Struthio camelus: one gene and its partners. The protein of the gene in region 1 interacts with the protein of each later gene in a biochemical or structural test. Links are inferred from orthologs where the notes say so. Each region holds a gene or a part of one and is shown in the gene's direction. Other genes may lie near its edges.

Evidence for each region.
Region 2: of the proteins of PARP1 (region 1) and UBE2I, one has a biochemical effect on the other in vitro, tested with the Homo sapiens proteins (4 studies listed by BioGRID, with this or other methods). The link is inferred for Struthio camelus from reciprocal best matches to the Homo sapiens genes PARP1 and UBE2I.
Region 3: the proteins of PARP1 (region 1) and RNF4 form a complex in vitro, tested with the Homo sapiens proteins (2 studies listed by BioGRID and IntAct, with this or other methods). The link is inferred for Struthio camelus from reciprocal best matches to the Homo sapiens genes PARP1 and RNF4.
Region 4: of the proteins of PARP1 (region 1) and PIAS4, one has a biochemical effect on the other in vitro, tested with the Homo sapiens proteins (3 studies listed by BioGRID and IntAct, with this or other methods). The link is inferred for Struthio camelus from reciprocal best matches to the Homo sapiens genes PARP1 and PIAS4.

Annotation. Positions count from the first base shown.
Region 1 is NC_090944.1:125,658,184-125,665,501, forward strand, and holds the start of PARP1 (poly [ADP-ribose] polymerase 1), read left to right. Parts: upstream 1-4,297; 5' UTR 4,298-4,492; coding exon 4,493-4,612; intron 4,613-6,857; coding exon 6,858-7,020; intron 7,021-7,318. UniProt on the Homo sapiens protein: Poly-ADP-ribosyltransferase that mediates poly-ADP-ribosylation of proteins and plays a key role in DNA repair.
Region 2 is NC_090956.1:243,432-250,440, reverse strand, and holds the start of UBE2I (SUMO-conjugating enzyme UBC9), read left to right. Parts: upstream 1-3,990; 5' UTR 3,991-4,151; exon of another isoform or gene 4,152-4,525; intron 4,526-7,009. UniProt on the Homo sapiens protein: Accepts the ubiquitin-like proteins SUMO1, SUMO2, SUMO3, SUMO4 and SUMO1P1/SUMO5 from the UBLE1A-UBLE1B E1 complex and catalyzes their covalent attachment to other proteins with the help of an E3 ligase such as RANBP2, CBX4 and ZNF451.
Region 3 is NC_090945.1:77,249,538-77,256,960, reverse strand, and holds the start of RNF4 (E3 ubiquitin-protein ligase RNF4), read left to right. Parts: upstream 1-4,422; 5' UTR 4,423-4,507; intron 4,508-4,519; exon of another isoform or gene 4,520-4,614; intron 4,615-4,690; exon of another isoform or gene 4,691-4,700; intron 4,701-7,423. Other genes in the region: CFAP99 (cilia- and flagella-associated protein 99), read left to right, coding at 925-1,092. UniProt on the Homo sapiens protein: E3 ubiquitin-protein ligase which binds polysumoylated chains covalently attached to proteins and mediates 'Lys-6'-, 'Lys-11'-, 'Lys-48'- and 'Lys-63'-linked polyubiquitination of those substrates and their subsequent targeting to the proteasome for degradation.
Region 4 is NC_090967.1:4,285,465-4,292,601, forward strand, and holds the start of PIAS4 (E3 SUMO-protein ligase PIAS4), read left to right. Parts: upstream 1-4,120; 5' UTR 4,121-4,273; coding exon 4,274-4,300; intron 4,301-7,137.

The DNA of each region.
Region 1 (7,318 bases):
AAACACAACAACAAAAAAAGCAATAAACCCCTTTTCTTATAGCATTAATTTAGTGGCTTTCATTCACGACCAAATAAAAATCAGGCTAAACTTTGAACAGACATTTGTTACAGTCGTTTCCATTGCATGTTTTCATGCTTGCGTGCCTGCAAATGGCTGGGGCTGTTTTTCCAGACCATTTTATGATATGTTATGGACCCCCGCTGGCCTCTAGAGCGCAGGTTGCGGAACAGCGCTTTGGCTGTCAGACACTGCTGTCTTTCCCAAGAAGTGAAAACGGCCGCTGCAGCAGGCAACACCACCAGGTAGTTATTTCTCTTTTGCTGGAACCCCGTAAATAAATACCGTATAAACTGAAGGGTATTTTGAGGGGAACTGGACAAATTCATGGAAGAAAAATTCCCCTCTGGACGATGGTATGCGGGAACTCCAGCTCCAGCTCAGGAAATCCCTGGGCCGCAGCTCTCGGGAGGCTGGGGAATATCTGGGGGCGTTTGCACCGCTCGCTTGCCTGTTCCTACATCTGCTCCGGGCAGGCGGCCCCTGCAAGAGCTGAATGGCCCGAGGGCTTGTCTTGGGATGGCTCTTGCCGGTGAACCCTCCTTTGTGGGTAATGGGCATTTCTCTCGGAAAAGCCTGACAGAGCTGGGCAGCAGTACGTTTGCCGAATGTTGAACGTTTGCATGTGGTTCAAGAACCTCTGCAAAAAGTAATTTGAAATGTTTAAGCTTCTAGTGTGGTAAGCGTGTGAGCCTGACTGTGTGCGTGCAGCACCATCTACTGTATTACAGAGATTTTGGTTTTCCTCCTTCCCTGGAAGCGGGGCAGCGTGTGTGCTCAGCGCACATCTGTACCACAACTGCCATGCCCAGCACGGCGCGAGCCCGTGCCTTGGCGGAGGGCTGACTGGGAAGGCAAACGCTGCCTATGTTCACAGCAAGCGTACGAAATCCTTGGAGAGGGAGCGTACGCAATGAGGAGGGCACATTAAAATCTGACCGTACAGGCTTGCGGAGGTCCGGCTGCGACTCACACCTGTGAGCTGTCTGAAGCCCACGTGGGACTAAACATACTGCTTTCCTTGAACCCGCATTCAAGAATCGCTGTAAAACTCATGAAAAATACTTGTCGCGGGTTTGCAATAACTTCAGCGCTCTCCTCTCCCTCTGTCCGCTGGAGATACAGTACCAATGCCCTCTGCCGACATGAGAGGATATTGCCTCCCGGGATGTTGCCAGAAGAGATGGAAAGGCAACGCTTAGCTAAACCAAAGCGCCCTTTGGAGCCTTCTTCAGGATCTGTACCGTTATCCCCAGGGACCTGGGCAAGCTCCTGTCTGGGACTGAAATCACCTGGCCAGTATTTGGCTCCCGGATACCTGCTAAACACAAGCTCTCCCACCACCTATGAAGCCCCTTTTCACGGCAGGGTCCGATCTGGACGGAGCGGCTCTTTCACCAGAAGGAAGGGGTTTTTGCAGCCGGGGGGAGGGAAGCGGCCACGCGGCCAATTGACAACCTCCAGAGCTGCCCGCATGGCCAGAAAGCTCCCTGCACAAGGCGAGGCGGGTGGGGATCAGCCCCTCCATGATTGCCGGCCCGCGCAGCCCGGTCGCAAGGACGCAACGGTCCTGTCAGGTCGGAGCAATAACCCATCCGGCTCAGCAGCCTCTTTCCACCGGTGGCCGCCAGCAGGCGCCTAGAGAAGAGTTGAAGCAGATACGGAGCGATACCCCCTTGGGAGATTTTCTCAGGATGCCAAGATTGGTAACTCAAGATCTTCCTGAGCCACAGGCGCTGTCCTTCAGCGGAGGTCCTTGCTGCTGCGGGTATGCCTAATGCCGCCTTCCCCAGCCCGCGCCAGACGTTAGCCTCCACCACGTCCCACGGTAGCGCGCCCCACGCGTACGCGTCGCTCGTCTCAACCCGCCACCTGCGACCGCCGGGGAGCTCGCGGCGCTTGCAGCAGCCAGCGACCGCTCTGCCGGCCCTCTCCTCGCCGCCGGCGAGTCCCGCTGCCTCCTCCTCGGGCTGCCGAGCCCCGTACGGGCGCCCGCCGCGCCGCCGCACGTCCTCGCCGCCCTCGGCTAGGCCTTGCCCGCTCTGCCCTGTCCCCGAGGGGCGCAGAGCCGCCCGCCGCGACCGGCACGTGGTCAGGGCCCGGCACCGCAGCGCTGCCGTTCAACCCGTCAGCCCTGGTGCTGCTGCTGCCAGGGGGCCGCCAGCCTGCCGGAGGGGCAGAGCGGGGGCCGCGCGCCGCTCCTCTCGCCTGCGCGGGGGGGACGGCCCGTCCCGGCGACAGGAGGGTTTAACGGGGGGCGCGAGTCCTCGCTGTGACCCCCCTCTTCTCAGATTCGCTGTCTGCAGAGCGGCCGGCGGACACCTCCTCACCTTGGTTATTCGGGATGGCGGGGCGGCGGCGAGGGGCGGGTGAGGGTTACGGACAGGCCAGCCCGGGCCAGGGTCTGCCACTGTCGGGGTCGTCACTGGGGGCTGGGGGGCGCATACCTGAGGGGGACTTTTGCTTTTACGCGGAGGCCTCGAAGCCACCTCATCAGCATCTTCTGCGAACCGTAGGGACCGCGCCAGGCGGTTTTGTTTCGACCTTAAACCCTAACGCGTTATGATATCGTGTCTTCTTCGAGGAAGGACCGTGCACCATGTTTGAGTTCGACTCACCAGCTACAAGTCTATCGCTTATCGTCCTGCCTTCGGTTACCAGGGAGGAAAGCAGGCGGTCCCCGGCCGGGACGTCTCTTGCAGGACCGCGCGGCCGCCGGTGAGAGGCACCAGCTCCGCCGGGCGTCCGGGCGCAACCGGAGGGCTCACGAGGAGAACGGCAGAGGGCCACCAGACGGTTCGGCAGCCCCTCGGCCGGTGCTCTGCCTCTCCCTCCTCGCGCTCGGCCCCCCCGGTGAGTCCCACCGGCGCCCTGTGCTGGGCTGCAGCACCCGGGGTGCTCCTGTCCCCCCGGGGTGCTCCTGTCCCTCTGGGTGCTCCTGTCCCCCCCCAGGTGCTCCTGTACCCCCGGGGTGCTCCCGTTCCCCCCAGGTGCTCCTGTCCCTCTGGGTGCTCCTGTCCCCCTGGGTGCCCCTGTCCCCCCGGGGTGCTCCCGTCCCCCCCCGGGTGCTCCCGTCCCCCCCAGGTGCTCCTGTACCCCTGGGGTGCTCCCGTCCCCCCAGGTGCTCCCGTCCCCCCCAGGTGCTCCTGTACCCCCGGGGTGCTCCCATCCCCCCAGGTGCTCCCGTCCCCCCGGGGTGCTCCTGTCCCCCCGGGGTGCTCCCGTCCCCCACCCCCCCCCCGTGAAGCGTCGTGGTGACTCATCCTCCAGGCACAGGACCATCGGCCGGACCCATGGGTTCAGCCTCGAGGCGTTTCCCGCCTCGTCGCCTAGAGCATGAACTGCCAGGGGGGCAACCAGCGCGTTGCCCCAAGTTTGGGGCAAGCCCGGTTGGGGGGGGGGGGGCTCTTTCCAGAGGAGAGGTCACAGAAGCAGCTAAATCCTGTTGGCCCGCCGCGAGGTGCAGCCGCGAGGTGCAGCTCGTCCTCGGCCGCTCAGGCACCACCGCTCCCCAGGCCAGCGCAGGGGCAGCCCGGGCCCCCCCACCGCCCCCGGTCCCATGGGTGCAGCCCCAAAAGCGCTCCCGGGCGGGGGGCTCACCCGCACCCCCCCCCACACACACAGGCAAGCACACCACACACTCGCACACACGCTGACACGTGCACACCCCCCCACACACACGCATGCACACACAACACGCTCGCACATGCACGCCCCCTACACACGCGCACACAGCACACCCAACTCGCACACACGACACATGCCCGCTCACACAGACACAGGCGCACCCCCCCCACACATGCACACGCTCGCACGCGCAAACAACACGCGCAACACTCACGCGTGCACACTCCCTGCATGCAGGCAACCCCCCCACACGCGTGCACACCCCTACGCACACTCACTCATGCACACTCCGCACACACATGCACCCCGCCACACACACACTCCCCACGCACGCACACCCCCACACATGCACACACCTCCCCCACACGCACGCACCCCCATGCACAGTCCCACATGCACGCACACCCCCACACGCACCCCCATGCACTGTCACACACACACGCACACCCCCCCACATGCACACCCCCTACACATGCACACACCCCCCCCACATGCACACCCCCATGCACAGTCACACACACCCCCCCCACACGCACCCGCCCACTCCCACTCGCCCCCTCCCCCTTCCCCGCCGCCGCCACGTGACCCGCCGCCCCCCCGCCCCGCCCCCATTGATACAATGTAGCAAAGCGGAACGTTCGAGGCGCCACCAGGCGCGCCGAGTCGACGCCCGAGCGGTGGATCCGACTAGGCGGCGGAGGCGGGGAGGGGCGCTCGGCGCTCGGCTAGCGCACCCGGCGGGCGGAGGGACGGGCGGACGGACGGAGGGACGGGCGGACGGGCGCGGGTCGTGTCGGCGGGGGCGATGGCGGAGCCGGCGGAGAAGCTGTACCGGGCGGAGTACGCCAAGAGCGGCCGCGCCTCCTGCAAGAAGTGCGGCGAGAGCATCGCCAAGGACTCGCTGCGCCTCGCCCTCATGGTGCAGGTACCGCGTGGCGGGGCCGGGGCCGCGGGGCGGCGGCGGCTGAGCCTCTCTCCGCCCCGGATTTATCGGGGGGAGGGAGGGAGGGAGGGAGGGAGGATGAGTGCGGCGACTTGCGCGGCTCGCGGGGGCTGCCCGCGCTGCGCACCGCGCCTGCGGAAGGAGATAAAAATAAACACACAAAAAATAAACCAAAAACCCCCCACCCTTTCCCCGCCCCCCTTTTGGGGGCAGGCGGCGGCGCGCCCAGCTTCCCCCCCCCCCCCCAGCGCCGGGGGCGTGCGCGGCGGGCCGGAGGAAGAAAAACAGGGAGAAAAGGGGAAAGAGCAGCGTCAGCAGCCGTGGCGCCCACCCCCCTCCCCACCCGAAACCACCCGTCCTAACCGCCTGCTTGCAAGTCGTTGTCCCCCCCCCCCCCAAAAAAAAAAAAAACCCAAAACTGCTGGTTTCATGTGGTCCCTTCTGCCGCGGCTCCCTCTGCCTGCTCTGGGCCAGCAGCGCTCCTCGGACCGTGCTGCCCCTCTTCCCGCCCCCCGGGAAGCCCCTCTCGGCCCCTCCGTCAGCGCCTTGCGCTCCTGCTGCCGCGGAAGAAACCCGAGGCAGGCGGCAGCTCCCGCCGCGGCCCCCTCCTGCTGCAGCCGTCCTCGCCTTTGGGGGCTTTCCCCCCCAGGGAGCCCTGAGCCACGCCGGGGGGCCCGGCGCTTGGCGGGGTTGCTGGCACCCGGTGCCGCAGCCTCAGCTCTTGTCCAGCTTCTGCTTCCAGCTGGCACTTAGCAATTTGTGTTATCTGCACGTGTGACGAGAAAGCACTCCTGGCTCCCCTTTTTTCCCCGAAGCTTGTTTAGGAAACTGTGGTCTGGAGATAGGTGCGCTGGGAGAAGCTGAGTAAACAAGGTCGGGCTCGCCTGGAGGTTTTGTTTCCCAGGCGGAGTGCAGTTGTGCTCCAGGCGCTCGGCGGTAGGGGAGGGCTCCCCACCGCTCGCGAGGTTGTCCCCAAGGGTCTGTAAGCTCTACCCCCTCCTGTGCACCCCTGTGCCTTACCCCCCCCCTCCCCCCCCCAAAGCCTTCATGGGGGGAAAAGGCTGTGGCTTGACTCTGGTGCCACGAGGGGTCTACCACAAAAATGCTGGGTGCCTTTTCTGCAGCTAAGGGATGGCCAAGCTGTGGTGTCACGGGGGGTGCGTGAGGCTGCCCAGCACACCGAGAGCAACTCCCACGGGGCTGCTGTGCCCTGAGGTTACTGTGCCGTCCAAATCCCTGCTCACGGGAGGAGCCCGGCAGCTGGAAACGTGAATGCCCTTTCACGGTTTTGGCGGGAGGTTAGGTGGTCATCCAGGGCTCCTGGCTCTCCTAGTGCCATGCTGTGATCCTCAGAAGCCCTTTCCTCCTCCGTCCTGCTCGTGGGCAAAGCTTTGCTGTTGCGTTTGGTTCTCCTGTCCGTAAGTGGTACGCAGAAGGCTTTCCTAGTTCATTAATTCTGTATCTTTAGTAATAAAAATAATAGTACAGCACTGTGTGTTATTAATACAGCCATTGTTTGTGTACATCCCTCGGAGCCAAACCGCTAAGCCGTTATTTTGTCTGATTGGTAACCGGAACGATGTCGGGTTGGTACTTGATGTGTCTGAGTCATGACCGAGCAGCGCGCTTCCCCGGCGAGGCTGGTACAAGGCAGGGTGCTCTGGATTTGCTCTTTGGGGAAGGAGTTAGGTTGTGGTTCTGTCCTGATGCAGAACTTCTTTGGACTGTAATGTTGCTCTGAAGTTTTGCCTCTGCCTCCTGCAGCTCCCTAGGCAGGAGGCTGTAGTGGATAAATCCCCCGGAAAACAGCGCTTGGCTTATCCACTGTCTTTGTTTCGATTGCTCATCCCTGCCGATGGCCTGATTCTCATTGAGAAGAAACCTCTCCTTGTCTGCTCAGGGTTGGTATAGCCCTGCTGAGGCTACAACCTTTTTTTTTTTCGAGTAATGTGGAAGGGCTAAACAATAGGGTGACAAACTGCTTAAGCTGGGTAGACTCTCTTTCTGCATGTATCCCCTTTGAGTCCTCTCCCCAGGCACCTCGTCTGTCACGTTGGATTTTCTTCCTAGGCTTTGTCCTAAATTGCAGATATCTTTTTAATTGGAAAAAAAAAATTACTTGTGTTTACCCAGATATTTCAATTTTTATCTCCCTTCCCCCCCCCTCACCCTCCCCATGATGCTGTCTGACTGGCTTCATCTTGGCCTAATTTTACTTTCTTCCTAGTCGCCCATGTTTGATGGCAAAGTCCCTCACTGGCATCACTACAGCTGCTTCTGGAAGCGGGCTCGAATTGTGTCCCATACGGACATCGATGGCTTCCCTGAGCTCCGATGGGAAGATCAGGAGAAAATCAAGAAAGCCATTGAAACTGGAGGACCTGGAGGAGGTAAGCAGAGGTGGTGTTGTGATGAGGCCAAGCAGGTGTTCAGAGGTTCAACAGGAAGCGTGCTTTCTGTTGTCAAGCTATTGACAGATTACAGTTAGGTGATTACCCTGTCCCTTCAGGAAGTGAGGTGGGCAGAATTGCCATGGTGACGGCGCACCGCAGACTAGGAAGCTGGCAATATGGTCTAGCCTCTGAAACCAGCAAGGGAAAAACAAGGCAGTTGGCAGATGCATTGACAGATATTCTTGTTTTCATGCCTGGTGTATTTTGGTTTCAGTTCCTTAACGTTAACAAATGC
Region 2 (7,009 bases), on another chromosome or scaffold:
CAGTGCAACACTGCTGATATTCCCTGTTTAGCACTTCAGATATAAAATGCAGTTTGTAGTTCACTTTTGTGCAGTGATTCAAAGCAGTAATACCTTTTCCTTTGTAAAGGAGATGCATCCTTTTCTTAAGCCCCAATGCCTTTCTTAAGGCATTGGCCTTAGTTATTAAAAAAAAAAAACACACACACACACATTTATTCAGATACTTATTCACTGGGAAATTAAGGTATTTTCAATTAAGGTATTTTCCTTCGTGTTTACTGTTGCTGCCCATTACAGTAGGAAATTCTTCCCTCCAGCATGGATATGTAATCACAAAAGAGCCATATACCAAGGTTTAACTAAATATTTTGCATATTTTCTTTCATACAGCTCACAAGTGAGCCTGCCTAAAAATGTCATTTCTTTTAGAATACCTCGATTTTTAACGTAAATGGTTTTTGTTTGAAAAATTAAGCTAACTGAAATCAACACTTTATAATAAGGCTGACATACAGTATAATACAGGAGATGTAAATATGAAGCCACTCAGTACATTTGCTGCAAAAGTTTTGAAGATATAAATTGCTGAAAGAAGTAAATGGTTAAGTACCTGAAACAGCTCAGACAGCTGTTCACAAGTATAGAAAAGATAATAATTCAGTGTTAGTACTGAGAAATCAACTGGATTGCTCTTATTTTCCAAACTGCTAATAAGAACTGTGTATGAGCGGCTAAGACTTGTGAGTTCTAAAAGCTTACAGTCTGTACAGTTAAGTATGAGGTTAATTTCATGCTAACAGTTTTAATCAGTTTTAAATGCAAATAATGGATTAATTTTTCCTTATATATCCAGGACTTTGGTATCATTTTACTGAACTGATTTCTTGCATTTTAATAACATTCCAATTTTACCAGAATGTCACAAGTAAAGACATTAGTCTAGTAGAAATTAACTACTCAGCACATATTTCCATATTTTGTCAGGCTTTCTTCCTAAAAGTATTTGCACTTTACAGTCAAGTAGCACTACTTCCAATCCAAATTCCTATTCTCCGTATTTGTAGCTTCGAGTGTCTTCACAAATTGGCAAAAGTGAGAACTTAAAAGGGATAACTGTATCCCAAACCAGAAACCAGTTAATAAAGGGCACCCAAAAGAGATCATCCTACACTTCCAAGTAAGTCATTAATGTTCCACTCGGATCTTTTATAATATTTGGAATTTATTCTCCTTTTGGTAGGAAGTTTCATATCAGGAAGATGAAAATGACCCTGCAAATTTACCCTCCAGCGTGCTGAAGTCTTGCCTGGCAGTTATAAACAGATAGTCCCGTATTTATGTGATATTCTCTGAGGCTGCAATCCATGCAATTACATAAGATAAATGCTATAAGCATGGTGTTAATAGTTTTCTCTAAGAGCATTGCTTCTGGTAATGTCCTTCCAATCCTCTGCACAGAAATGTCATTTCCTCCACCACATCCATTCAGATCAACGGTGACAATCTTCAGTGCTGAATGTGGGAGGATGCAAATTCAGGCAACATGAAAAACCCTGGCAAATCTATGTACTACAATACAGTGAATCTGCCTGGTACCTTAAGGACCATGCTACCAAAGTTTCATCTTAAATGCAAAGATAATACTTCAGCTTAGAAGACTCTATACTGCAAATGATTGGATACCAGAAAGGTATACAGGGGAGTACATGTTTGTCCTGTTCCTACTGTGGGTATTCACTACTAGCAAAAGCTAGTAGTGAAGCTAGTAGTGATTCCTGAGCTAGAGTGACCTGTAGTCTGATTAGGCATAGCCACTACTATGTTCTTACAGAGCCTTGCTAAATATCTCAATTCCAAACTTCTGCAAAGAAGCCACCAGACATCCCAGGTATGTTTTCACCAAGTGACATGCCATTGAGATGGCATTCAGTAACTGTTTAGTGAAGCAATCTGCATCTGGTGTTTTCCTGAAGAACTCTGAGACTCCCCCTCATTCCCCAAGTCATTTGTGACTGTTCACGATGTATTTTCTGTACATGCATCTGCTAATTGGCTTCCCTCTCTACTCCAGCATTTACTAGTTGAAAGGAATAAAGCAATTAAGGCAGATGCTGCCACAGGTATCCATGCATCAGGAAGAGAACTATGCAAGAGCAAGGACCCACAGAAAGGTAAGTATCCTTATTTTGCATCCTTGTGATACATAACTGGCTGAATCACAAATGTGAATAGGGACTGTTCATTCAAAGAGAACATAGTTACTGTTAAGTAACTCCGTTACGGAGATAAGCTAAATAAGGACATGATGAGAACAGGGCAAGTGATTCAAGGATCTGGGCTGTTTATATGAAGGTGAAATCATTATTTTGCATTCTTAAACAGTTCTGTGATGTGCCACTATTCCTGTTCTGCCTCATGATCTCGTTCAGCATTCCTTGCTGCAACAGGGAGATGTTCCAACCTAAGGTCAGTCCTTTACGGAAAGGTGTATGCGGCCAGCGGAGGTGAATCCAAAGGCTGAAAAGTTGATTTCAACTCTTTCCCTACACCTGGGAGACATGGGATTCCAAGCACAAACTCAGACCCATTCCAGAATGAGAGGTTTCTTTAATGACATATAGTTGTTGCAAATATGTCTGTGGAAGCTCTGGAAACAGTTCTTCCTTGTTTTGCATCTATGCTGGGAATGCCATCTCTTTAAAATATTGCCTAGTTAACTTTTGAGATTTAACGCAAAGATGTTACTACATCAGGCAAAAACTACTGTCCTGATAGCTCAACAGTTCTCGAGACCAGCCTAGAGAGGTGAAAACCAGAAAGAATACTTGTCCTCTCCATCCTTTCTGTAGGAATCAAAACTGACAAGATTAAATGAGACAATGAATTAATTAAAGACACATAAAAACAAAAAGCCTAGAAGGGGGCTGAGACATACCACTCAGCTCATGCCCTTGACCAAGGGCAGGAACTTGCAGCACATGTTGTCTAACCTACTTTTAAAGCCTCCTTTGATGAAGTCTCCACACCCCTCCCATACCCATTAGGCAATCAAATGCTTTAGCATCTTTGCCATTAAATATTTTCTTAATGCCTCACCTTCATTTTTCTTGCTGCAGTTTATACTGTTGACATCTTGTCCCCTCCATTACAGGCATGAATAGTAGGTTATTCCCTTTCTCTGGGCAATACCCTTTCATTTTCTCAAAAACAACTTATGTCTTCATATTGTTTATCATGTTTACAGTGATTCAAGGAGCGTAAAAAATCTAACAAAATTTTAAGTTGGAATTTTAAAAGCCAAGCAGAGCAAAGCACAAACAAAAATTTCAAACGAGGTCTAGATTCATCCTGCCAGCTTTAAGTGCCAGTTGCAACCAAATCCCAGATGTCAAGGGCTACAGAGAAACAGAAGTCCTCCAACTGGCATTTTAATGCATCTAAGATGAACTGCTTGCTCTTTGCCGCTGCCTACTCACTAGCTGGGATGTCGGGCAATGAGATTTCTAACAAAGCACATGTTTTGGATTAGGACAAAGTCAAATATAGGTGGGTTTTTTTTTTTTAAAGTTAATTTTAGCACTCCCAAGATGAGATACAATTTTAAATTTAAGCGCTATATAGGAGGTAATGCAAGAACCACTAACACAGAGAGACCACAGTGAGGCTTTAGCTAGAGGACTGAAACATCATTTAAATTTCAGTAAAATTAAAAAAAAAACGAACAGAGGAGCAGAATGTGATTCATGGCCTACATGCCACTAAAAATGCGTTCTTATAAACCAAGGAAAAAAAAGGAAACGACCACGGTACATAAAGCATCTATCTACCTCTTAAGCATCAGACAAAAACCAGGCTCGGGCCGAGCTCGAGCTCGAGCTACAGGCGGGACGCGGGGCGGCAACCGCCAGGCTCGGAGCTGCCGGCCCCGCCGGCGTCCGGGCAGAGGCCCCGCCCCCTCTGACGAGCCGCTCCAGCCAGCCAATCACCTGTGAAAGGCCCTCTAGGGGCGGGGCCTCCTACCACCAATCAGAGGCCCGGCTGCTCACAGCGGGTTGGGTCCTGTCGGCCTCGAGAGCGTCCCGGGGCAGGCGCGGCCTGCGGCACCGGCTTTAGCGCCCTGCGAGGGACCAGGCCAAATTAGGGTGCAGGTGACTCTCCCAGCGCCCGAGGTAAAAATTCACTCCGTTTCTTGACGGGGCTATAGGAGGCGAGAGGCAAGAGGAAGCGAAGAAGGCTTCAGAGACCCTCCCCCCGGGATTTCCCCTTGCGCTCCCTACTCAGGCATTGTTCCGGGCGCCTCGGGTCCTGTGTCACGAGGATGCGTAAAGCGTGGCGGACGGGTCGGATTCAGGGTCATACCGCGCCGGCGCAGCGGCACGGACGGGTCGGCCTGAGGGACACGCCATCGTGCCGCGCTCTGCACCGAGGAAAGAGGGAGGGAAACTCCGGGCCAGAGACAAAGGGGGGGAGCCGAGTGGGGAACATCCGGGTCACTCGCTGCCGCCTCAATCCGGGACACGCGCGGGTGCTGCGGCCGCTCACGGTGAGGCCTGGCCGGGCGAGGGGCCTGGGGCGGCGCGCTGGCGGCCGCGGCTCCGGGGCAGCGGGGCCCGGCCTGGCGCGCCCCGCCCGCGGCACGACGGGCCGGGCGGCCGCGGGGCGCGGGGGCCGGGCGGCTTCTGCGGAGACCGTGCGGTCGGGCCCGCCAGCGCAGCGCAGCGCTGCCCGCCGCCCCGCGGCCGCCGCCGGAGGCCGCGGCCGCCGCGGGCCGAGCGCGGCGAGGAGGGCTGGGCGGCACCGGGCCTGCGCGAGGCGGCCCCCGCCCCGGCGAGCGCTCGCCTGGGTCCCGGCGGGCGCCGAGCTGCCCCGCGCAGGCCTCGGCGCCGCCCCGGCCCCTCCGCCGGGCCCTGCAGGCGGGCGGCCCGCGGCCAGCGCAGGCACCGCTCGGCTCGCCCGGGGCCGGGTGGCGGGCGGCGTTGCTGCGGCGGTCCGGACCGAGGGCTCTCGCCGCGCCGCTCCTTCGGCTGTTCTGCTTGCGGCTCTGGTGGCCGTGTGTGTCGGGATAGTAACCCCTTTTGCCCTTTCCCCTGCCGCAGGAGGCGGTTTTCTCTCCCAGTGCGGCGCTGGTCTGTTTTGATTAAATCACAACCGTGGGCTTTCTCTGCTCTTCTGAAAAGTAAAGGTCTTCAAGTTCTTGGGCAAGCTACTCCAGTTTATAACTTATTCTTGTGCTAGTATTCAACCCACAGAGCGGGAATGTGAGGCCAGGAGTCTTAAGTTTATTTTAGGGTTGTTTGAAATGAGTAGGAACTAGTTCAAGTTCTTGACGTTTAAAGAGCATGCTGTTCATGTATTTAGGGACTTGCCACAGGTCAGAACTCTGTGTGTAGTAGATGTTGCTTTCCCGCAGCAGAACTGTTCTTTGTGAGACTTGCTTTTTACGTTTGGAAATAGATTTTTATTTTATTATCTCCCCTATTGGAGGATATAAGTAGCTATGATCTGTAATGGAACACAGCCGGTTCACTCCTACGATAAATGTTTTGGTTTTATTTTGGTGTGTGTGGTTCTTGTTTTTATTTTTTCCCCGAAAGTGGGTAGTAGTAGCAGCAGCAGCAGAGGCAAACTACAAAATAAGTTTTGAAGCTTCTGTTCGTTTCCTAATGTTTTGATAGCAATAAAAGAGGCATTTCTGCCTTTTAATGCGGTGGGGGGGGAGGGGGAAAGAAGGAGGGGAGTAGAGTGGAGTGGAGTGCAAAACCAAATGGAACGTGGAGATGGACCTCTTGTGCTTGCATGGCCCCTGCAAGATAAGGTTTATATATTTTTCCAGGGCAGAAGAATGTGTTCTTTCCAGTGATGCATCCCTTTAATGTGTTCTGACCTCAGTTCTGTTCCATAGCAATAAATTTCTCAAGTGGAGGAAATAAATCAGATGTGTTAGTGGGTTTTTTTTGGTTTCATTTGGTTTTTGGTTTTAATAAGAGCTGTTTTTTCAGGTTTTAACTATTTCAAGTTAATAGTAACATCTTGCATTTGCTAGAAATTGCAAGAGCTAAACGTTAAACTTAGGCATTTGGACAAAATGCTACTGGGAAACTACTACTGCAAATTAAAAATGCATAAATTGTGGAGGAAGATAAACATAGCAGTGAGGATATGAGTTCTTCAGTTTTATTTCTGAAGATCTAGTTTACCTACTATAATATCTCACTCTTTCCTGCTACTTAGTTACTTTTGAGACCAAAATATATATTTAGATGACCAATCTGTGCTTAGCGTATCTCAAGCTCCTGCGGAGCAGCAGTTTGATCAAGATGTCTCGATTCCTCTACTGAAGAGCTGCTAGACAGTGTATGTTAGAAATTTGTTAATAGATTGATTCCCTTTTGAGCAGATTCTAATGGGATCTTCATTCTAAACTGAGCTTTCAGTCTCAGTTGCACATCTACTTTGTTTGTGACAAGAGATGAGTGGTGGGGTTTTTTGTTTTTTGTTTTTTTTTGGATACTTGTCTGTTCTTGCAAGGGTACTGAAGCCTCTGAGCCTCATGAAGAGGTTCACCAGGCGCTGACCCATGCCATGTAAATATGTAAGATATTTAGATGCTCTGAAAAAGAAAGTGACAAGCTCCGGAACTGACAATTCTCCTTTTCCACATCCTTTTATGCTGGATGCTCCTTACGATCTTAGAGTCATGCAGGAGCCACAAAACTCAAAGTGAGTCCCCAGGAGTACAGGAAAATTACTCTCCCAAGACAGTTCTTGATTTACTTTAAAATATGAAAAGAGAAGGGAGAACTTAATGTGGTGTTTACTTGCATAGTAATAAGTGTGTAGCACTCACTGCCTGAAGATACCAATTTTAGTTACTTCAGCGTCCCTGGACCCTTCTAAGACATTGTAACAACAGTCTTGCAGAAGAGAGGCTAGAGGTAGGCACAAATATCAGAGGTCAAGTCCAGCTGTGGTTGAACTTTTTCCCAGTTGTATTCAGTAAAACTTAATCAGCAGTTCAGGTTTGACT
Region 3 (7,423 bases), on another chromosome or scaffold:
AGTATAAATTATTTAGCTGTTTTGGTGTAGCTTCTGTTTGGCTCTGCCTGACCGTATCCAGATATTACTACAGAGAAGTGGCTTAATTCTGGCCAGCTATGTCCAACAGCATCTTTATTCTAGCTGAACTGCATATTGCTGAAAATAGTGGTAGTGTGATTATAAAAAAGAATTCTTCCCTTTATGCAGTACTTATCTAGCATTCAGTTTATACTGCTACCTTTTAAGAGTACTCAATAAATTGAAGAAAATGAGGCCTATTCCTTGTATTAAAGTTCCAAATCCAGACTGTGGCTTCAGTTACATTTGTGATAGCCCTTTAGGCCGAATGACTTTGTGCTGATACAAGCGAAGATAAAGTTTGTTCATAAATCACTATTCAGTTTTTAATAAAATAGAATTTATATTACAGCTTGGAAGACTAACTGTAAGAAAACTATCATTAATGGAAAACACATTGTTCTACCATTTTAAGCCAAGAATCAGATGAAAAAGTAACTGTTTTGTTTATTCTGAGCTTTCTTGGCAGTCCTGCTTTGTGAACCTAGTTTTTGAATCCGCAAACCAGTAGCGTCTGATAGAGAGGATCTGAGCAACTGTTCATTTATAACTTCAAGAACAATCTATTGGCGATGGGAGAACATAAGGTGGGGCACTGGGGCGTGACAGTCCTGATGTAGTTTTGCCTTGACCTAACATTTTGTGAGGTGTTGCAGTTGTGTTTAATTCATCTTAAACTGGGCAACCCAATCAAGTTATGTTTATATTCATCATGCCTAATTTGAAGTTGACATGCTTCCCAGTTGTGTTAGCAAGTAGAATGTGTCACCAGCCAGCCAGATTATCATACAAAAGTTCAGTGCATCATCTAAATAGAACCGTTATATTCTCTGCGATGTGATAATCCCTGTTTTTTTTCTGCAGAGTTCTTTGCAACAGAACCACTGGAAAGAACTGGAAGAGAGTCGGGAAAGACAGTTCAAGATCCTTCAGCATGGCTTCATGGCCAGAGAAACAGCTCAGAAAATGGCTGCATATGAGGCAGCAAAAAATGGAGCCACAGTTTGTATACTGCGATCTGAAGTAAAATAAAATTCATTTGGAAAAAAATCAGACTTGCTGGAAAACTTCTCCCAGTGTGCCCATATACTACAAGGTTGAATTTTAACCTTTATTTCATCTTTACAGTTTGAATAGCACAACTCTGGTCATACAGGCACATTTGAGTCAAAATTTGTTATTTTTTTGTCATGGAATTTTTATTTTTAATCAGTAATGACCTATTTTTCCAGTTAGAATCAAAAGCTGTAAGAAACTGAGCCCTTGCAACTGAGGCTCCTGTGGCAGAATGACAAATATCTGGATAAGAATGCTGTCTGTATTTCTATTATCATTATATATTATACCATGATTTGCTACATTCATCTTCCTAAAGAATAAAAATTAGGAGAAAAAAAAGTACAATGTTTGTTTACATATGTATTTTTTCAGAAGGCACGGTCAGCCCAAGTTCCCAATACATCATCTTACCTGGCAGTAGCAGTGCATAGCAGGACCACCAGTTTCAATGCTGGTTTTAGAGGGTGAGGGGAGAACTGATGGCATACAGCAGCCAGAGAGTAGACTAACTGACCTAGACATACTGTTCCTATATTTGCAGAGGTGAATCTTTTTTGTCTTTGAATGGTGGAAGGAGAACATAACATTCTTTGATCTCTCTAAGGAACTGCTTCCAGAAAAAGGCAAAAATCTGTTACTCACCTAGAAGATAATTTGCCCTCTGTGACAATTTCTATACTGTGTAAAAAGGCCTTCAAATCACAAGATTTATTCTAGGCATAAAGCCAAGGAGGATATAAATCTGGATTAAAATCTGCACAGCAGTAAGACTATGTAATGTATTTCTATTTTAAATTTGTGCCAGTTACTAAGTGTTTAATTATGGCTATTGCAAATATTTAAATTGAATGAGACTGTCGCTGACATTAGAGTCAGGCAGCTGCTTTTAATGCTCTCACAACATTGTATTTCTCACTTTTTGCTGAAGGAAATCTAATGGAATTCTTTTGTTGCCATCTAGCTGTGAAGATTGCTTCCACAATCTGCAATGCTGACAAAATGTGCTGTATTTTTTGTTCATTCTGAATGCTACAGCAGTTCAGGAAAGCAATGAGATTCATGCAGTAGCTCAGTAGGAAGAGTTAAGGATCCTAGGAGAGTGGGAAGAAGGAGTGATAGATGTAGAACTGCGGAGAAGTCGGAACTATGACTCTGTGTCTAGTAGAGGGTTGGAATAGCTTAAAATGACAAGCATTTGGTTCCACAGAGTTTATTTTCCTTTGTGTTTGTCCAGCACCACGTTGTGTTGTATTCCACAATGACAGAGCGAAGTCTGGACTTGAATGCCTCGGTTTTCCAGAAGCTAGCAAATAATAGGACTAACAGTCACGGTCTGGGATTTTTCACAGCTGACTAGTACCTCTGAAACTTTTTGTTATACCATGCATTTTGAGAATTAAGAAAAGAAAGATTAATCTTTAGGCAAATAGACAGGCATATCTACGAAAGGTTTTCAAATTTCAAAAATTTATCATACTGCATGCTTCTTCCTCTGGGGTGTTGGACCCAGTCTTCAAAATTCGGAATGAACTGCAATCAAGCTGAGTCGTAACTATTTCCTTCTCCATGTTCTCCCCAGCTCTCAAAATGAAAGGACTGAGAAATAGAGCAATCTTAGTAGTTCAGCTGTGGAATTCAGAAATAGCCTCATTCTTGCTACTTTAGGACCTAATGCGTGAAGTCATTTTATAAGCAATGTTTCAAGGAATGTAAAAGAATGAATCTTTTGGGAAAAATATCAATTTATTACTTTTTTTATATAGGTTATTGATTTTACAGCGATGGGAGGTCTTGCAACAGAATACACAGAATAAAATCAAAGATACTACATTCCTCATGACATGGTGCACGGAAACCTAAGGTGATCCAACACACAGCCGGTAAAGGTCCCACACGACTTGTTAGCTTTCTGTTACAAAAGTAGCTGTACTGCTGTTGGAGCCAACTTAGCTTTGAAGCAATGCAGCTGCATTCACTCTGTGCTGCCTCAGCTAGTCTGTGGCACAGATAATCCACAACCTAGTTAATCCACACACAGGTAAGTGAGAGCTGGCAGCGCACGTACGCTCATCACACTTTGCAGAAACACAGCTACATGAACGATCCCTATGAGTCACTCATTTATGGATTTGTTACTGCATTTGTCTCCAAGATGATGAGGGCAAGTGAAGAAGGCTGAGTCTTAAATAAGCTACCAAAACACATTTACAAAATCAGAGGTTTCACCTGGGTATCAGAGGTTTCACCTGTGTTAGTAACAGAATCAGAAAGAAACCCCTCTAATGTCAGGAGCTGCACTTTCCAGAGTCACGCAGATGAACGTGAGGCATCTTAATACAGTGTGAACGACCAGATACTACGTCCTTTCACGTGGAGCTGCAGTATAACTAGGCCCAGGTTTACTGAGGAAGACCACGGGATGTTAGCATGCTGTGCAAGCTCCAGCAGCAGGTAACGCCGTCACTGCCACCTGGGACTCGGCTCCGTACGCCAATCCAGCCGGCAGCCTGCTGGCGGCCTGGGGTCCAGCTTCAGCGCCCGTCCGGCTGGGTAATCGGATCGGTCGCAGACAGCACAGGGAGAGATGGTGTAGTTATTTAAATGAAACCAAAGACGCGTACGGGCTGCTGCGCCGGAATTGCAAACACCTCGTCGAGGAGCGTTCAGCCGGCGGCGAGGAGAGGGCAAGAAGTGCCAACGCACAACGCCGCCAACACGCAGCCAGGCAGGGGGCTATTTAAATCGACGAAAGGCCAAGCGGTCCTCGTGCTTGGAAAAATAACTTTCGATAGGGAGGCAGAGGCACAGAGATACCATCATAAGCGTTTATAACGAGTTAACGCAGAGTGAGGTGCGCACTAAGCGCATCTAAGGCAACAGGTGGCTCGCTCCCAAGTTCATGCTTCTGATGCGCTTCTGTCGGTCCGTTCAGAAGCACAGCTGGGTGACTGCCATTTTGTGGGGGGAAAAACACCCAAACCCCCGACTCGTACTGCCTTGCTACACCCGCCCAACACGGCACGACCTGCCCTGAACGTCCCGGCAGACGGACAAACACCTGCCTCGGCCCCTTCCCTTCAGAGCCGCACAGACCCCAGCGGCTGGGGAAGGTTTCCGAGGAGCAGCCGCCGCGCCTGGGCAGAAGCCCTGGAGACCCTCGGGGGCCGCGGGCCCGGGCAGCCCCACCGCGAGGGGCCGCGCCGCCCCCGAAACTACAACTCCCAGAACACCCCGGGGCCGGATGAGGGGGCGGGGCCGCCCGCCGCCAGGGCTTCCTTGACTGACGTGCCCCACACCCAGTCCGAGAGCTGCAGCTTACGGTTTCGCCAATGGTAGGAGGGCAGGAGGCGGGCGCTGCCCTACGCAGTTGCCGGGCCGGGCGCCGAGGGTGAGTGTTGCAGGCCGGGGGGCTCCGCTGTGGGGGGGGTGGGAGCCGCGGCCGGGCAGCGGCAACGGCGCCCCCGGGCCTTCCCCGCCGCGCTGAGGGGGCCGCAGGTGAGGGATGGAGGCGGTGGGGGTGGGGGGCACCGGGCCCGCTCCCGGCCGCCGTGGGGGAGGAGCGGGCCGGGCCGGCGCCGAGGGCAGCGGGGGCAGCAGGGGCCGCTTCCCCCGTGCGGGGCCGCGCCAGCGCCTACGGGGCCGGGGTTGGTGGGGGGAGGGAGGCGGCCTGGGCCCGGCGCCGCCGCCTGCCGCCCCCGCGCTCCCCGCGGCCTGTCGTCCCTCCGCTCGTGGCGTCCCTGTCGCCCTCCCCTTCTCCCCCCGGTATCTCGTTGGGTTTGGGGGTTCCCCCCCCCACACACACACCCCCCAGCTTCGCTCCGTCACTCTGAGGGGCTGCGGCCCCGGGGACGGGCCGTGGCGGCCGCCCGCTGCCGCTGGTGACAGCCGGGGGGCGAGCCCGGCTCGGGGACGGGCCTGGGGCCTGGCCGGTGTCCCGGAGCGACCGGCGAGTTGGAGGGGGGGGCGGCTCAGGGGAGCAGGTAGGGTGCGGGGGGGGGGGGTTAGGCCACCCCCCCGTTGGGTTACCGCAGAAGCGGAGGTGATGTTTCTCCTCGAGGTCTTGTTCCCTCTACCCCTACGTCTCCACGCCGGGCTCTGCTCCGTTCCCCTTTCTCTGCCCTCCTCCGGGGCTTTGGGCTGTGAGCCATGTCCGCTCTCTGGGATAAACAGCCGCGCGTAAGAGGAGCGAGGAGCGCTTCTGGCCGGCCCTGGCCGTTTGCAGCGTTCCTGACATAGAGCATCTGGCCAGCTGGAGGCTTCGGCTGTGTTCTGTGCTGTGGGTGGTTTTCGTTTGTTTTTGTTAGGCCGCCCGTAAGCGTGTGTCCTATTTGTCTGTAGATGTAGCTGGCCGCTTAGAGCGGGTCGTAAGTAGTAGGTTGTGCCTCTCTCATCTCTAGTCTTTTTATAGTGCCTGTCAGTGAGGTTTTGTAGTATGGGACTGCTTGACCTAATTTGGATAAAACATAATACACTCTGTTTCTGTTTTTACTAAAGTTGGTGAAGAACCTTTTTTTTTTTTTTCCTCATCTCTAATGGTAGAGAAGATGCACGTGATATGGAACTTTTGGAAGAGTAAAATGGCAGATTATTTTTCCTGCCATATGACAACAATGCTAACGCTTTGCCATAGGCATGTGCTTCTTCTGATCACAAAAAAACGCTTCTAGATGCTTAGCCCTTTGATACTGTCTTTCCTGTATTAAAAGTGCAGTGAGACATCTTAAAAGTGCAAATGAGAAGCAAAGTCTTAAAGGCATAGCATGTTGTATTTTCTTGGCTAACGTGGTGTATTTTGTTTTTGACACCTTTGCCTTGTACAGACCAAACGTTTACTCTGAAACTGTTGCTTTATTCAAATGTTTTCTTTAGAATATTTCTAATGCTTAGGATGTTCATGAGGTCAAGTTTGGTCTATATTAGTCAGACACGGTAAAAATGCCTACTTCTTGTTTGGGCTGATTTGCTTCAAACCATAGTGAGCCTGTGGGAGCCCAAGACTTTGTTTTCAGAGTGGTGTAGGAAAAGTTTTAAATGTATTTTTAGTGAGTTAAAAGCTAAATTCTAACATGGTAAATTCAAATTGAATTTGGTGAAAATATTAGCTTGGGGGGAGGGATTAACGACTTAAATCAGGCATAGGGGAATCAATATTCTTTCACTGCTAATGGAGACATTCTTAATTTAGGTGAGTTTACCTGTACTTTTCTCAAGTAGTTACCTGTTGAGAGAGAGAATGGTGGATATAGCACTTAAAATCCCGGTAGGTTAGCTAGAATAAACCTTGAACTTTGCTGTTATAAGGACATAACAGTCATTAGGCCCTTGGGAGGGTTAAGTGATAGGAACAATAACTGTCTGTGGAGAGCTCTGTATGAGAGGAAGGGGAGTGGCTTCTCCTGGTTATATATCATCCCCCAGTGATACAATAAAAATCCTATAAAAGTTAGTAATATTTAGTGGCTTATCAAGTTGATCTGTTAAGGTTTTGCATTTAAAAATCATTGTTTTTTATTTTAAATTTAAAAATCTTAATCTTAGAATTTCTGGATTGGTATCTGAATGCATCTTGCTACAAGTATAATAGATGAGCTACTAACAGCTTCAGCTGGAGTTATTTGATGCTTTTGGGGGGTAGGAGGTGCAATAACTCCGTTCCTGGTATCTGATTCTGAGAATCTTGATGCTGAGTTTCATAGTGACTGCTGGAGGAGGACCATATAGACGTTATTACTGAACTTGGACTATTCAGGACTGTATACAAAATACTGTTAAATTGGGTGGTCCTGGGGTTTTGAGAACCCTCGAGGAATTTTTTTGATAGGTAGATCTCTAAATGTGAGAAATTTGAAACTGCTTTGTTTATCTCTGTTCTTAAACACTGCTAATTTGATCTGCAGTGTTTTAAAGAAGGCAAGTTTTGCTTTATTTTTCCTATCCATTCTTGCAATTCAGAGAAGTGATCTTTGCAGTGGAATTTCCCTAGTAAGCTAAGAGCGTATTTGGAAATATGTAGCCCCACAGAAGAGGTTTGTTTGTTCTTACGAGAAAAGAAGTTGCCGGATCATAAGATTCCTTCCATAACTTTAATAAATTCTAGCAGTTTGGTTTTCTTTGAGTATAATTCTTCTGATTTGGCAGGTTCATCGGTATTAATGCAAGCCGAAGATGATTTTTAAAGTCCTTTTACAATTTTGGGCTTTTCTATAGATATCCATTCTTAACACTTTCTCTTTTGGAAGAAGCTGACAAAGAGGTTAAGATGTGAGCCTTTAGCCCGTGGAAGAGCACAGGAGTGTTAGTGTCT
Region 4 (7,137 bases), on another chromosome or scaffold:
CTGGTGCCTGCCACCACTGGCCCCAGGGCCCCCGGCATGGTGCTCGCTCCCAGGGGCTTCGCCAGCCGTTAAACACGCCACGAGAGAAAGCTGTGCGCTGCCGGGGCTGCTGTCACCGCCTTCACGTCGTCCCCAGTCATGCCACGCGCTCGAGGAGCCGCTACAAAGTCAGTGAGGGCTCCTCTCCTGCCAGCAGGAACCCTGCCACTGATTTCATTAGAGAGCAACCGAACCCTGGGGGAAGCCTTTCTTGGTTCGCTCTTACCCCGAGAACATGTTACGGCAGAGCGAAGCATGTACCTTGGTCTGTACAGGGCAGAGAAATAAAAGAGGTAACAACAAATTAAAGAAAACGAACAATTAAAGCAGGTGAATGTTCTGCTTTTAAAATCTGTGGGCAATTCCTTGCTGGCATTAAAAATGCAGGTGACGTTTTCTTTTTTTTCTATGGAAAACTTAAGTTTTCCTCTCTTTTTCCCTGATTTTCCAGGGGCTGCGCTGATTTGCATCCCGAGCATTAAGGAGCGGTTGGTGAGCTCAGCTGTAAATTGCAGAGCATTTGGGGCCGATTCATCAGCGCTGTGATCCGAGTCCTGCATCGGTGGCCCCTGCACCTGCAGGGACTCGTGGCACGCGGCTTCCTGCCCGGGGTGCGAAATCCTGTCGTGGCCTCCAGGATCAGGGCGACAGTGCCTCACCTCGGGTTCCCGTGCTCTGCAGAGCGAGACCTATCGAGAACAAAGTGCGAACAAACCCCCGCTGCAGCACATGCTTTATGCCCTCACGCGAAGACCTGGCAGCCGGGCGCGCAGCGAGGACAGAGCAGGGGGAACCGCCTGCGCGAGGCTTTCGGGGGGGGGGGAGGCTCCCCTGGGCGGACTGCAGCCGCCCCCTCGCAGGGAGGCAGCAAGGGCAGAGCCATGCAGGGAAGGCTGCGGCGCCTGGCGGGCTGCAGCTAAGCCCGGCCATCGCTGCAAGGCTGCTGCCTGCACTGCAATGTCACTGCAGGGCCTCTGCTCTCACTGCAGTCCCCTGCCCTCGCTGCAGAGCTCTGCTGCAATCCCCTGCCCTCGCTGCAGGCCCTGCCTGGCCCCCGGCAGCCCCCGCCGTCCCCGTCCCCAAATGCCATTTCTGCGGTCGCTCGCTCCGCTCCTGCCCCCCCCCCCGCCGCCCTCCGCAGGGCCCCCGCGCTGCGCATGCGCCAGCCCGGCCGGCGGAGGGGAGGGGGCAGCGCCGCAGCGCCCCCTGCGGGCGGGGAGGGAGCGCTGCGGGGCCGAGCGTGCCCGGTTCCCCCCCCCCCACCCCGGGGGGCGCTGCATCCCCGAAACGTGCCCCACAACGCCCGCCGATGTCCCCAGCCGTGTCCCCGGGGCGGCTCCCGCCACTGCACCACGACAGCAAGGGTGCCGGCGAGGCGCGCGCGAGGCCGGGGCTCTCGCCCCGCTGCCGCCGGCCGGAGGGCCTGGCCCGCGTCCCCAGCCGCCCCGGGGGCTGGCACGGCTGGCGATGGCACGGGCCCCCAGCGCCTGCGCTGGGCAGGACGAGGGGTACGGGCTGTAGGAGCCCTGGAAAGGCCACGCACCTCCTTGCCGCGCTCCCAAGCCACGCCTGGCTTGAGCGGGATGCGGAGGGAGGGGTGTAGCTGGAGGAAGGATCTGCAGAGCTGCTCGACTCCAGCTGGGACCCCAGGGGCCATAGCCAGTCCTCTGGTGAGCCAAAAGCACCCATCCAGCTGCCTTGCTCTTCCTTTGGTAGCTGACACGCGCAAGATCTTCGCCATCGGCTGTCCCTGGTAAAGCTTCACGAACCCACAGCTCTCTTCCAAACTTCGCTCCTACGCCAGGAGGTCTCTAAGAAGGGCCTGACATGCTGGTTCAGCCATGGGTGTATGTTCTTTGTCTCTCAAAGTGCCCTGCAAAATCACTGGGTGTTCACATTCTACCTTTTAGAGCAACAGTAACGAGCAGCCATCCTGCAGACGGTCTCAGACTGACACAAATGATTCCTCATGCTCCGGCAGAGATGAAGCAGGGATAATTCGATGGAAAGACATGGAACGACTACACAGGGTGAGAGAAGACCCAGTCTGCAGTTTTAGGAGGACTCCCTCATCTCCAGTGCAGGAACAAAGGCCAAAATCCCTTCACTTTGTTTTAGCAAATGGGAAAACTGAAGCGCTACGCGGTGAAGAGAATTACCTGAGCTAAGATCAAATTAAAAGGAGACTGAGAGCGAGGGCAAGTAAAGAGAGACTCCACAGCACAGCACAGCAGGATGCAACTCTCCATCTCCATACCATAAATATTTTGCATCTTTTTTTACGTCCTTCTCTTCAGCATCATAGAAGACTGTTGCTTTACTTCCATCAGCTGCAACATATTAAAAAAAAAAAAAAACCTCTAATAAATCCAAGCCACTTTGTCCCCAAGCCACCTCGCCAGGCAGCTCAGGTCGCTGCCAAATTCCCAGCACATCCCCAGCCCACCGGTCCCCTCCACTATCTGCGGTGCCCAGGGAGTTGCCGGTGGAGCTACGCCAGGAATCACCTTGGCCCCGGGAGGCTGTGAGCCCCGCGCTCCCCTTGTGACAGGATGAGTTATCAGCTGTTGGGGTTGCCACAGCAACCGTTTGAATTTTTTAGCACCAATGCTGGCTTTTGCCAGACTGGAAGGGGAGGCTGGGGAGCCTGATTAACATGTTGGCCTGCCTGGGAAACTAGCCCATTGCCTTTTTGTTTAATTGGCCTGGGGGACTGATGACAAGAAGGGGAAAGTGCTGGAAAGCCTCCGTCTCCTCCAACGGCACGGGGTCTTCGGGGACCGTCCCCTCTCGTGTACATCCGGGCGTGATGGGCCATCACAGCCCGCAGGCGCGCAGGTGCCCAGGGGCTCTCTGTTGTCTCCTGGTAATTCAGCCTGAAGTTGCCTGGATGTAGTTGCTCGGCCCACGTGAAAGGGACTGTGCTGGGCGCTCGTTCCTGGCCTCACGCTTAGAAACGGAGCACCCAGATCCCAGCGGGAAAAGAGTGACTTGCAGGCAGGTTTCAGCTGGGGAGAACTCATTTCTATCTACACATAAGGCGTTTTTAGCAGGGACGGGTTCTTGGAGGATCAGCTCCTCCCTGGGCACCTAGAAATATGGAGAGAGACACTGACCTGGGGGTTTCTGGGGCGCCGTCACCACGGGGCGGTCGGTTCCCAGCTGCAGCGCCGGGTGTCTCAGCGACGCAACGCCGCGTGCTCGGGAGGGCGCCGTGTCGGGTGACAGCATCACAGGAGTTTCTGGAGGCCTTGGTCCCTCAGAGCAGAGGCAGGGGGTTAACGGCCCCTGGAATAAGCGGAGTGCTCGTTATTGGTGTATGCGCAAGCGTCTGGCAGCTCTGAGGCCTGCGACTGAACAGCAAAGCCTGAGATAAGCAAGTGGAGGCTGCTGCCGAGGGAGAATTAGATTTGTGCCCTTTGTTTTCCTCTGACGAGGAGGGATCTACAAGCTGTCAGGTTCCTTTGGGTTTTTTTTTCCCCTCCAGAGGGTTTTTAACCTTAGAAATGCCTGTTTCAGCTGCCTGCTCCCCAGAAAACACCTTCCAGGCAAACTACAGGTGACCAGACCCAACGTCCCCGTATTTTAGGCCATTTTCAGAAGTGGGGGCAAACAAAAAACCTGCCCCTTCCCTGGGGTGACCGCAGCCGGACGCGGGCAGGCGCCTCCGGTTCAGGCCACCGCCGTGCCCACGAACGAGCCCGGGCCTCGAAGGAGCGCGTGGAGGTTCGGGCAGGGGTCAAGGCCACAGGACAGGCCGCCAAGGGCGCTCCCGCTGGCCCCGGGGCCTGTACCCCGGTTGGGGCCTGTACCCCGGTTGGGGCCTGGTGCGGCCTGCCTGCCCCACGGCCATTTTGGGGGTGCTGCGCATCGCTCCCTGCCCCCCCCCCCACCGTGGGCACACCCCTCCCCACCGGCTCCCCTCCTGAAGGGCGGCGACCCCGGGAGCCGCCATCGCTGCTCCACCCCCCACCGCCGCCCCCTCCTCCGGTAACGCTGCCGCCTCCCGGCTTCCCGGGGCGCTGCCCCTTTAAGGCAGCCGGGAAGGCGTGGCCGGGCGGGGCGTGGCCAGTGCGCCTGCGCCGCGGCGCCGCGGCCCGCGGGGAGAAGGGCGCGCGCGCGCGCGCGGATTGGGCGGCGCGCGCCACCCGCGGCCCCTCCCCGCCCCCCGTCCGTCCGCGGGCGTCACGTGACTCGGCGGCGGCTCCCGGCGCGGTGGACGCTGGAGGCCAAGATGGCGGCGGAGCTGGTGGAGGCGAAAGTGAGTGAGCGGCACCTTCCTCCCCCCCCCCCTTTCCTTCCCCCGTCTTCCGCCCCGCCGCCGACTGCGGCCTCAGGGCCGGGCCGCGCGGGGCGGCGGTTCCCGGCGAGGGGGGCGGCGGCGGCGGGGAGGGCGGCGCGGTGCGACGGCGAGAGCCGGGGGGGCGGCACCCCCGGGACCGGCCCCCCCACACACACTTTACCTCAGGAGCCACCGGCCCCGCCCCGGCTTCCCGGGCTCGGCCGCGGCCCCCTCACCGGGCCCAGCCCCCGCCCCCCACAACCGGGGCCTGCCCGGCGCCTCTCGCAGCCCGGCGGGTCCGAGCCTGCCCCTGGGTCCACCCCCCCCCCCCTTCCTCCCTCCCCGCGGCGTGGGCCGCGCTGCTCCCCTTATTAATTACGAGTAATTAATTAAGGCAGGTGGCTTCTCCCGGCCGCCTCCGCGGGGCTCCTTCCCACCCCCCCCTTCCCCCGCCCCGCCGGGCGCCCGCGCGGGGCCCCCAGGCGCCTCGTGCCCGCCGGGCGCGGAGCGGGGCCGCGGGGCGCGGAGCTGTCCAGCCGCCGGGGCCGGTTTTGTGCCGGCTCCGGCCGACGGCGGGGGAGGGGGATTCCGCGGAGGGCAGAGCGTGGAAGTGGGGAAGGAGCGGAAGGTATCCGGGGGGGGGGGGAAGCTTCCCCCCTTGATTCTGCGCGGCATGGAGCTTCCCGGGTATGTCCCAGGCGCTTCCAAATGAAGCGTTTTTAAAGCAAGCGTACCTGAAGTTGTACCGTACTTCCAAAGTGTCCTGTGCGCCGCAGCAGGCCTCCTGCGGAAAGGAGGTTCAGCAGAATAGGACCCGCTCTCTGCTTTATTATTATTGTTTTCCCTTCTCGGAGTCCCAATTTACTCTTCTCTCCCTGATTCTGGGACTTCTCTGTTTTGCTCTGTCAGCGCGCGGCAGCGCAGGGGAGCGACTCGCTGCGCTTGAGCAGACTGCACGCAACGGTGCCATGGCGAAGCTGGCGCTAAGGGTGTTTACTGCGTGACTTCAACGCACAGAAATTGTTAATAGCACCTGCAGGATTAGCTAATAAGTAAGGATGTGGCTAGATGGTTGCAAAAAATAAGATGTGGAGAGTCTATTTTAGGAGTCCCTGTGGTCTCTCCTCTCCCTAGTATTTGGCCCCTCTCAATTGAGCTGAGCCCAGGACGCTTCTGGAGGAGGTATGTTTCCAAGACTTCATCGCTTGCCTCCTTAGCAGATGTTTGAGTGACACAGTTTGCCACTCAGATGCAAGGCTTCCTTGGGGAAAGGAGCTGACTTAAAATTTAGTGTTAAAATAACCTCAGTAGTTAATGTGATCTAAGTACCGCTCGTACTGTCATCCAGATCTAAGCCTCGATGATGCATTTTTCTTTGTGTGAAACTAACTTGTTCTGTTGTTACTGTTCAAATCTGATCATCCTTCTAGGTCTTAAACCTTTCTAAATGTAAACTGTGGAAAACTATTGGGTCAAACTCCACTGTACGTACCTAAGGTCCCAAGTGACCAGCAGCGTAGGAGTATCTGCTGTGCTCAATGTGACTTCCCCGTTACTGCACGACTGAAGTGCTTCACAGCCTTGCTGTAATTATCTTTGCAAATATGCTGTTTATCCTTGAAGTAGTTCTGAGAGTCCAGTACGCTCTCCATTTTGTAGATAGAGCAAATAACGACAGAGGAACTGAACTTGTCCAGGATCACGCAGGTGGTATCTAGCGAAGCAGTGAAGTGAATCCACATCTCCTGAATCCTCGTGTTCTAGCAGTTAAACATCCTTTCTCTCCTCTTTAAAGTTACTTGCCTTTTTCTCACATCAAAGGTATTCTGGGACACATCTCAGCTACCAAAAAATCTAAACTGCAGCCAATGACATTTGTGTGAAGTTCTTTAACATCTCTTGGGTTTCCAGATTAAATGACAGATTTCATGAGAAAGGAGAAAATAAAATGATATTCTTTTTACAGCCTAATTCCCGCACAGGCAGATGTGGCTGTGAAATGTTTCTGGACTAAACAGTAGCTTTAAAAAATTAATTCATCCATGTCATCATCATCTTTTTTTTCCTCCCTCTAGGAAATTGTAAGACTACTATTTTAACTTCCACAGAAAACTGACTTTATGCATTTTTTCTTAAGTGTAATCAGCAAACAAGAGTGGAGGGTAGGTTGGGGAAAAGAGACTTATTGATCTCTCATCCCTGCTTTTGCTCTTTACTATGGAGCAGTTGAGCTTTCTTCTGGAATTCTGACGTTTTCCACAAACAAGGAAGGACGCTGAAGGAATAATCGTGGGTGCCTATCAAGTACATTCTCGTGCAACTTGCATTTTTTTTTTAATGTCCTTTATAAGCTTGCCTTGCACATTCATAAAGCCGCTTGCCATGTGAGAGAACTCAATCGTCAATCTGACCAGACTCTAGCATTAGTCCCAATTGAAATAATTTCTAGTTCTTAGTTTGGTGGAAAATCGCCTTCTAATATAGTATGGTCTTTGAATCTACTGACAAATTATAGGCCTTTTGAGTTTCCACAGCAGCAAGAGGAGTGAATTTGTGAAGACAGATAGTTTTACTGCTTATCAAAACATTGAAATCAATAGTACTAGAGCAAGAGCAAAAGCAGCTACTGGCTGTAATCATGGGAGAATGCTTGGCAAAGCCTCCAAATGGAATCTTGGAGGCATTGTTCTCATGGGAACATCCTTCTCCCTCTTTAATAGTCTTTTAATATCACTCCATAGCCTAAAATATCTGATGCCTTTTTTAAAAGGCCCTGCATATGTAGGGAGAGTTCTGGATTTTTTTTTTTTTTTTGC